Lonchura striata: one gene and its partner. The protein of the gene in region 1 purifies or fractionates together with the protein of each later gene. This does not show direct contact. Links are inferred from orthologs where the notes say so. Each region holds a gene or a part of one and is shown in the gene's direction. Other genes may lie near its edges. The genes, in order: AKAP11 and PRKAR1A.

Region 1 (3,908 bases):
AGGACCTGGGAGCATGTGGAACATTTTATTTGTCTGACTTGTGGCAGAGTGAGACACAGTTTATAGCCAATCTTTCATTTATTTTATCTGTGTAGTTTTTGCATGGCTTTGTTGTACAGCTTAGTAGTTTTTAGGGTAAATGAAAATGTAGTTCACCTACCTGTTGGCAAAAATTAATATGGACCCCCTGACTTCTGAAGTGTCTAAAATGATTGTAGAGGTCATGAAAGATAAATGAGAAAGAAAAGCCACAGCTTAAAAACAGCAGGTAGGCAGAAGCAGGAATTATCTAGAAGATTAAGGGAGAGTCAGTAGCAAAAAAAATTCTCATCGTTTTTATAGGTCTTAGGTGGTATCCAGAAGAAAAGTGCAATTTATGAGGGGGTTAGGGTAGTTCTCTTTGTCTTTTTCTCTGTAAAATTCGGTAGGTTAGAGCTTAAAACCACTCAGCACCGAAAAAAATACATTCTTTTAATTTAATGACTTTTTTCTTCCCTAACCCCTTCCCTAGTAAACGAAGTTTGGGAGATTATATATATATATATATATATATATATATATATTTTATATATATATATATATATTTTTTTTTTCCCTGAATATAGCTTTGGGGTCACTTTGTTTTCTGCGTTGCAGAAGCTGCAGCAGGCACTCGCTGCCCCGTCTCCAGCTGCGGAACTCCGGCCGCCCCCAGCTTCACCCTCGCATGCGGCTCTCGGGAAGGCCTGTCCCGATTCCCGGAGTCTCTCCTCTGTGGGGGGACAGAGTTGTCAGCCCACGCTGCTGAGACGGTCCACTGTGCCTTATTCAACACATCTCCTGGCTGTGTCCCTGCTGCCAGGTTAGTGCCTGGACGAGCGGCTGCTGCTACTGGAATGGAGTTTTATGCTGGGAAGCTACACGAGATTACCGCTTCCATCCAAACGAGAAGAAATCCCAGGCCCCTACACCTACACGCACAGCAGAACAACTCACGAGGAGGTGAAAATCAATTGCCTATCTGCTGGCTAAATGCACACCTGGTGCCCTGGGGAATCCGGCAGCACTGAATTTAAGCCGGCACTGTGAAGGGAAGGCAGCACGGGATTTTCAGACAGGATCTCAGTCTTGTCCGCGCCTCGCCCGACTAAATCCAGGCCGCAGCCGCGTGCTGAGGCCGCCGGCCGGGCATGGAAGGGAACCCAGAACAAGTGGGCAGCAGCCCCCGACCCCGACGGAGGAAGCAGAACAGCCCGGCCCCCGGCAGGCACACGGCTCCCGGGGGCTTTGCCCATGCCGTGCCCGCGGCCGGGCACTCCCCGCGGGGGGGCTGGGATGGGCCGGGAGCCGGGCCGGGAGCCGGGGCAGGAACCGGGAGCCGGGAGCCCGTGCGCCGCCTCGGCTGCTTCCGGGTTGGCCGCCGTTTTCCCGCCAATGGGAGCGCGCGGCGGCGGCGGCAGCTGCGGGGGCGGGCCCGGGCGGGAAGCGTCGCGAGAGCGGGGCGGGGCGGGGCGGGGCGGGGCGGAGGGGGCGGGGCCCGGGCCGGGGCCGGGCGGGGGCGGCGGGGCCGGTCGGGCGCTCCGGGCCGCGCCGCTGCGGGGCCATGGCCGCGGGCGGCGGGCGCTGAGGAGGCGGCGGCGCTCCCGGCGACAGCCACAGGTACGCGGCGCCCGCTCTTCTTCCCACCCCCTGCGGTCGCTGCCCCGCGGGCCGCCCTGCTGGGGAGCTCGGGCGCAGGGCGGGGCGCCGCCGCCGGCCTGTCAGCTGGGGCTCGCTGCCACAGGTCGCCCGCGGGCTGCCGGGGAGCCGCATCCGCTGCCGCCCTTCCCAGGGAAGGGTCCCCTGGGGCAGCGCAGCTCCCGCGGGTGACGGGGAGCGGCCCGGGGGCGAGGCCGGGGTGACCCGAGCTGGGGAGGGGGCAGCGCAGCGCTTCGCTCCGGACCCAGCGTGCGGGCATCGCCGTCCCACGGCCCCGATGTCCCCGTGGGCCGGGATGTCGGTCCGCAGTCTCCGCTGGGAGCTGAGTGACTCGTGCTTGTGCAGTCCTAGTCCGTGCACGGAGGCTCCGTGAGCTCACGTTCCCTCCTGCATTGTTTGGGTTGCCGTCGGTGCGCACGGGTTAAGTAAGCTCAGCCTGCTCTCAACATTTCGCTGTAGAAGTGTCTCCTCGCCCTCCTTCCCTCCCTCCCTCCCGCCGCATGTCCTCCTCCCAGTTCCTCTTCTCCCCCAGGGGAGGAGAACAAGGAGCGTTCCTCCTTTGCTTTCTTGGCTCTTTTGAGGGGCTTTCTTTGGCTCTCTTATTACGACCAAAGTACTTTTCTCTGGTTTCCAAAAGAAATCCAGTATGCAAAAGGAAAAAAAAAGGGTTAGCTGTAGATCCGAACTGTATTTAAAGATACAGCCTTCTCTTCTCTGATGTATTGCCAGAGTGAGATAGGGAGGGAAGAATGCCACTTACATTGTATCTGAAAAAGATCAGTGATACTGAAATAAATGGTAACAATGTTCAAAATTTATTCAGGTTACACTTGGAAGAGTCATACATGGTTCATGTTTGTAAGATTTCAGAATCGTATAGTTAGATTTTAGTGGTGGTACTACCTATATTTAATTAATCCTTGAGAACTAAACAAGGTATTCTCTGGTGAAATTTTCTCTAGGTGGGAGTAAGTTTTCTTGAGAAAATGCTGCAGCTTAGAAAATAATAGCCCCACCTTACTGGATGTGGTTCTGTCATGTACAAAATAACAGACTGAAGTACAGAAACTTAAAGGTTAATTGCATAAGCCACAAAATCCAGACCAGTGGATAGCCCTAGTACATCAACATAACATTTTTTTTCCCAGGAAGTATTTAAGAGTCGAGACCCGGGACTGGGGGGAGGCTGTGGGTGATGACTAGCTAGTGATGATGTAGGAAAAGAAAATGATTGATTCTTTTGAAATTACTGCTTCTGTGTGACAGAAATACAATGTAAGAGAATTAAAACCAAGCAAGAAAAGGAGGACCCGGCCTGTCATTATTGCTTACCTAAATGGTGTATTTTGCTCACTTTTGATGTGTTTTGCTTTTGTTGTGGGTAGCTGTGGTTAAGACAACTTGTGTTTCATACCTGGACTTTCAAGACTGCTGACCTGATCAGTGAAACTGATAAATCATTAGAAATGATAAATAGAGAAGGATCCATTAGAATATTCTACCTGCTTGTCGGTGTAGACTTGCTTTATTTGGTTTTTAATAGCAATTGTTTGGTAAGGTTATAAATACACATGCAGGACAACCAGGGAATCAGGCCCAACCAATACAAATTTACAAAAGGAAGGTTCTGCTTGACTAATCTGATCTACTTCTATGACAAAGTCACCCACTTAGATGAGGGAAAGGCTGTAGATGATGTCTGTCTTGACTTCAGTAAGGTGTTTGACACCATCTCCCACTGCATCCTGCTAGAAAACCTGGCTGCTCATGGCTTGGGTGGGAGTACTCTTCTGTGGATAAAAAACTGGCTGGATGCACAGAGTGGTGGTGAATGGAGCTAAACCCTGCTGGAGGCCGGTCATTAGTGGTGTCCCCAGAGGTCAGTTCTGGGGCAAGTCCTGTTTAACATCTTTATTGGTGATCTGGACATGGGGATTGAGTGCACCCTCAGGAAGTCTGCTGACAGCACCAGGTTGGATGGGAGTGTTGAACTACTTGAGAGTAGGAGGGCTCTGTGTGTAGACCTGGACAGGCTGGATCAGTGGGCTGAGGCCAGTGGTATGAGGTTCAACAGGGCTGAGTGCTGGGTCTTGCACTTGGGTCACAACAACCCCACTCCATGCTGCAGGCTGTGGGGAGAGTGGCTGTAAAACTGTTTGGCAGAAAGGGACTTGAGCGTTCTGGTTGACAGTAGCTGAACACGAGCCAGGGTGTCCCCAGGTGGCCAAGAA
Region 2 (3,908 bases), on another chromosome or scaffold:
GTCTGTCAGAATTGCAGGTCCAAGATCTACACCCAAGTTATTATCCTTTATTTCTTTAATATAAGAGCTAATAAACAAGAAACCCCTCAGCAGGTAGTTCCTGATGGCTTGTGTGTCACTGCACAAACAGCACAAACTTCTTATACCATAATATACATTAAACTGTTGCTGTTGAGAGTAATTTTCACTGTACTTTACGTGATTGCTGGCTGAAATGATGTAACATTAGAGTAAAAAGTTATGTTCTGCGTTGCAAGACCAGCAAATGCACAGTTCAGGGCTCATTTTTAGGGATTATTTCTCCTTCCTAAACCCAGAGATGGGCTATGCCTGTGCCAGCACAGTCCAGATATAAAAATCATTTAAATGATTTCTTACAGCTTGGAAGAGACAAAGTGAATGGAGTCAAAGGGCTCATCTCAGCTATAAAGACACATGGAATAATTTGTACACGGATTTACATTGATTATAGTGAAATCTTTGCCAAACTTGAGTATCGTTTATTTCCCTCAACCTATAACAATCTCTGATCTTTGAAGCGGGTCCTTTCCAGGAGAGTCGGTGTGGAGTTGATGCCCTGGCGGATCCCACTGCCCTCAGGGGATCCCTCTCCTCCCGACCATTCCTGCTCCCCTCAGAGGATCCCTCTCAGGGTTTCCCACTCCTCTCTGCCATTCCTTTTCACCTCAGGGTATCCCTCTCCCCTCAGCCATTCCCTCTCCTCAGCCATTCCCGTTTCCCTCAGGATATCCCTCTCCTCTCAGCCATTCCCGCTCCCCTCAGGGTATCCCTCTCCCCTCAACCATTCCCGCTCCCCTCAGGGTATCCCTCTCCCCTCAGCCATTCCCTCTCCCCTCAGCCATTCCCTCTCCCCTCAGGGTATCCCTCTCCCCTCAGCCATTCCCGCTCCCCTCAGCCATTCCCGCTCCCCTCAGCCATTCCCTCTCTCCTCAGGGTATCCCTCTCCCCTCAGCCATTCCCTCTCCCCTCAGCCATTCCCGCTCCCCTCAGCCATTCCCTCTCCCCTCAGCCATTCCCGCTCCCCTCAGGGTATCCCTCTCCCCTCAGCCATTCCCTCTCCCCTCAGGGTATCCCTCCCCCCTCAGCCATTCCCGCTCCCCTCAGGGTATCCCGCGCCCCTCAGCGGACCCCACACCCCACCCCGTTCCCGCCAGCCCCGCGCCCTTAAAGCTGCAAAGCTCCTCCCGCGCCGCTCCCCGGCCTGTGCCCGCGCCGCGCCCGCCGTTGCCCCTTTAAGGTTACCGCGGCGACGGGCCCGGGCGAGAGCGAGGCGCATTGACGTCAGGGCGGGCGGGGCCCGTCCGGCCGGTCGGTTTCCGGTGCCGCCGCTGCAGCGAGGCCGCGGCCGGGCCGGGACGGGCGGGGGGTCCCGGCGGAGCCGCCGCAGGTGAGCGGGGCGGGGGCAGCGGCCGGGCGGCCCCGGGGCGGCGGCGGGGCCGGGGCGCTACGAGAGCCGGGCGGGACGGGCGCGGAGCGGGAGGCTGCGGCCTTGGGGCGGGGCCGGCCCGGCGCGGCGGAGGGAGCGGAGCCGGGGCCGCGGCTCTGCGGGTGCCGTGGGGGCAGCGGCGCCTTCTCGGGCCAGTGTCCGAGGGGCCCCCGCGGGCTGTGGGGCCGGGCCCCGCGGCGCTCCCGGGCCTTTGTGCCGGCTGTGCCCCGCGGCCCCGTCCCCGCCCCGGGGGTACCGGGTCGGTGCCTGCCGGGTCTGGAGCGGCCGCAGCCCCGCGCCGCGTGAGGGACGGGCTGGGCTGGGCTGGGAGGGGCAGCCACGCCTTGGGGAGCTCGGGGAAGCTTTGGGGACGTGCAGAAAGAACGGCTTGTAGGAATAAATCCCGGAGTTTTCATTTTGTCCGTGATGCTGCATTTCCTGCACCGCTCCTGCCCTCCTGGCGTGGCCGTGGCCGCTCACGGAGCCACCGGGCTCGGTTCATTAGCGCTGACCTTCACCGGGCGGGCTGGCCAAACAAAAGGAGTCGCTGGAGAACTTCTCGTGGCTTTCTCAGCCCGTGGGAAGGCCACGCTTTGTGTTTATGCAACGCACAGTACACGTGTGTGTGTGTGTGTCCTTGAGCAGGGATTAAGCGTGACAATCACGACACCTGCGTGAAGTGTTGGTAATTCCATATTAAATCCAAGCCTTCTGTAATCTCCAGCAGCAGAATTCAGAGGGGCACGTTGTTTTGTTGTCTCTGTGCCCTGGGTTTTCCTGCTGCTTCCTCCGCAGGATAAAACCCATGATGTGACTTCAGTGACTTGTCATTTCTCAAAATTCTTTTGACTGAATTCATTTTTTCCCTTTCAAAAGCTGATCCCGGGATCAACATATCTTACTGCATATAAATAAGCTGTTGCCACACTCCCTGTAGCAGGTAACTTTCTTTATATTTCATCCAAAAATGCCCTGAGAAATTCTTTCCTGTTTCTTTAACTCTCCCAGTGTCAATTTTCTTATGAAAAAAATGATGTGAAATGTGTGTCTATATACATGTACACGTAAAAAAATATATCTTAAAATGGTTTTATAACCCTGTGGTGGGCCAAGCCAGGCTAGATGCTAAGCACCCACCAAAACTGCTCCATCACTACCCTCTTCAACTCAACAACAGAAGGAAAATATAAGGACAGGCTCCTGGACTGAGATAAGGGAGAGATCACTTACCACTTGCCATTGTGGGCAAAACAGACTCTACTCAGGGAAATTGATAATAAATTAAACTAACTAAATTGTAGTAGGATAATGAGAAATAAAGCTAAATCGTACAAACATCTTCCTGGCCCTCTCCCTTCTCTCCAGCTTTAACTTTACTCCTGATGTTCTCTGCCTTGCCTCACCTCAGAGGATGAGAATTGCAGTCAGTTCCTTACATGTTGTCTCTGCTGCTCCATCCTGCACACCTTCCCCCTGGGAGACAGTCCTCCATGGACTTCTCCAGTGTGAGTCCTTCCTGCAGGCTACTCTCCAGCCTGGTTTCCCTTCCATGGTCACAACTCCTGCCAGAAAACCATCCCAGGATAGGATTCCTGTGGGATCACACTCTGCATTCCCCTGCTCCAGTGTGGGGTCCTCCAGGGGCTGCAGATGGATCTCTGCTCCCTCTTTGGGTCTCCAGGGGCTGTCAGTGGATCTCTGCTCCCCCATGGATCTCCAGGAGCTGTGGGTGGGTCTCTGCTCCCCCATGGATCTCCAGGGGCTGTCAGTGGATCTCTGCTCCCCCATGGATCTCCAGGGGCTGTGGGTGGGTCTCTGCTCCCCCGTGGATCTCCAGGGGCTGTGGGTGAATCTGCTCCCCTGTGGATCTCCAGGGCACAGCTGCCTCACCATGGTCTGTATCACGGGCTGCCAGGGAATCCATGCTCCAGGGCCTGCAGCACCTCCTGCACTGACCCTGGGGACTGCAGGGCTGTTTTTCCCATTTATTGCCACTCACCTGTCTGGCTGAAGTAGCCATTTCTCCTCCCTCCTTAAGTACCTTGTCCCAGAGGCTCTGCCACTGTCACTGATGGGCCCAGCCTCGACCAGTGGCAGTTTCATGTTGGAGCTGTCTGGCATTGGCTCTGTTGGACATGGAGGAAGCAGCCAGCAGCTTCTCACAGACCCCCCCCTGTACCCCGTGCTACCAAAATCTGGAAGTAGAAACCCAGTACAAACTTGAAAGGGGAGAAAAATCTGCTTAAGAATATATTTCAAAGTATCATAGCTGAAGTCTTTCGAAAACCTGGCATCATAACAGATGTTTAAAGCTGTACTCTTCATTATTTACAGTTGAAGAGGTATTTTTGGGATTGCAGTGTGCCCATGAAATAAGCGATGAGGTATGAGCGGGTTTGAATTACACAGGAGCTTTTTAGGAGCGATGCCTGTAATCCATAACTTCCGTTAGCAAACTCTG

The links.
Region 2: the proteins of AKAP11 (region 1) and PRKAR1A purify together in Homo sapiens (affinity purification with mass spectrometry; 3 studies listed by BioGRID and IntAct, counting the BioPlex papers as one, with this or other methods). This does not show direct contact. The link is inferred for Lonchura striata from reciprocal best matches to the Homo sapiens genes AKAP11 and PRKAR1A.

The regions. Positions count from the first base shown.
Region 1 is NC_134604.1:59,682,171-59,686,078, forward strand, and holds the start of AKAP11 (A-kinase anchor protein 11), read left to right. Parts: upstream 1-1,530; 5' UTR 1,531-1,638; intron 1,639-3,908. UniProt on the Homo sapiens protein: Binds to type II regulatory subunits of protein kinase A and anchors/targets them.
Region 2 is NC_134621.1:9,548,896-9,552,803, forward strand, and holds the start of PRKAR1A (cAMP-dependent protein kinase type I-alpha regulatory subunit), read left to right. Parts: upstream 1-1,308; 5' UTR 1,309-1,408; intron 1,409-2,323; 5' UTR 2,324-2,387; intron 2,388-3,908. UniProt on the Homo sapiens protein: Regulatory subunit of the cAMP-dependent protein kinases involved in cAMP signaling in cells.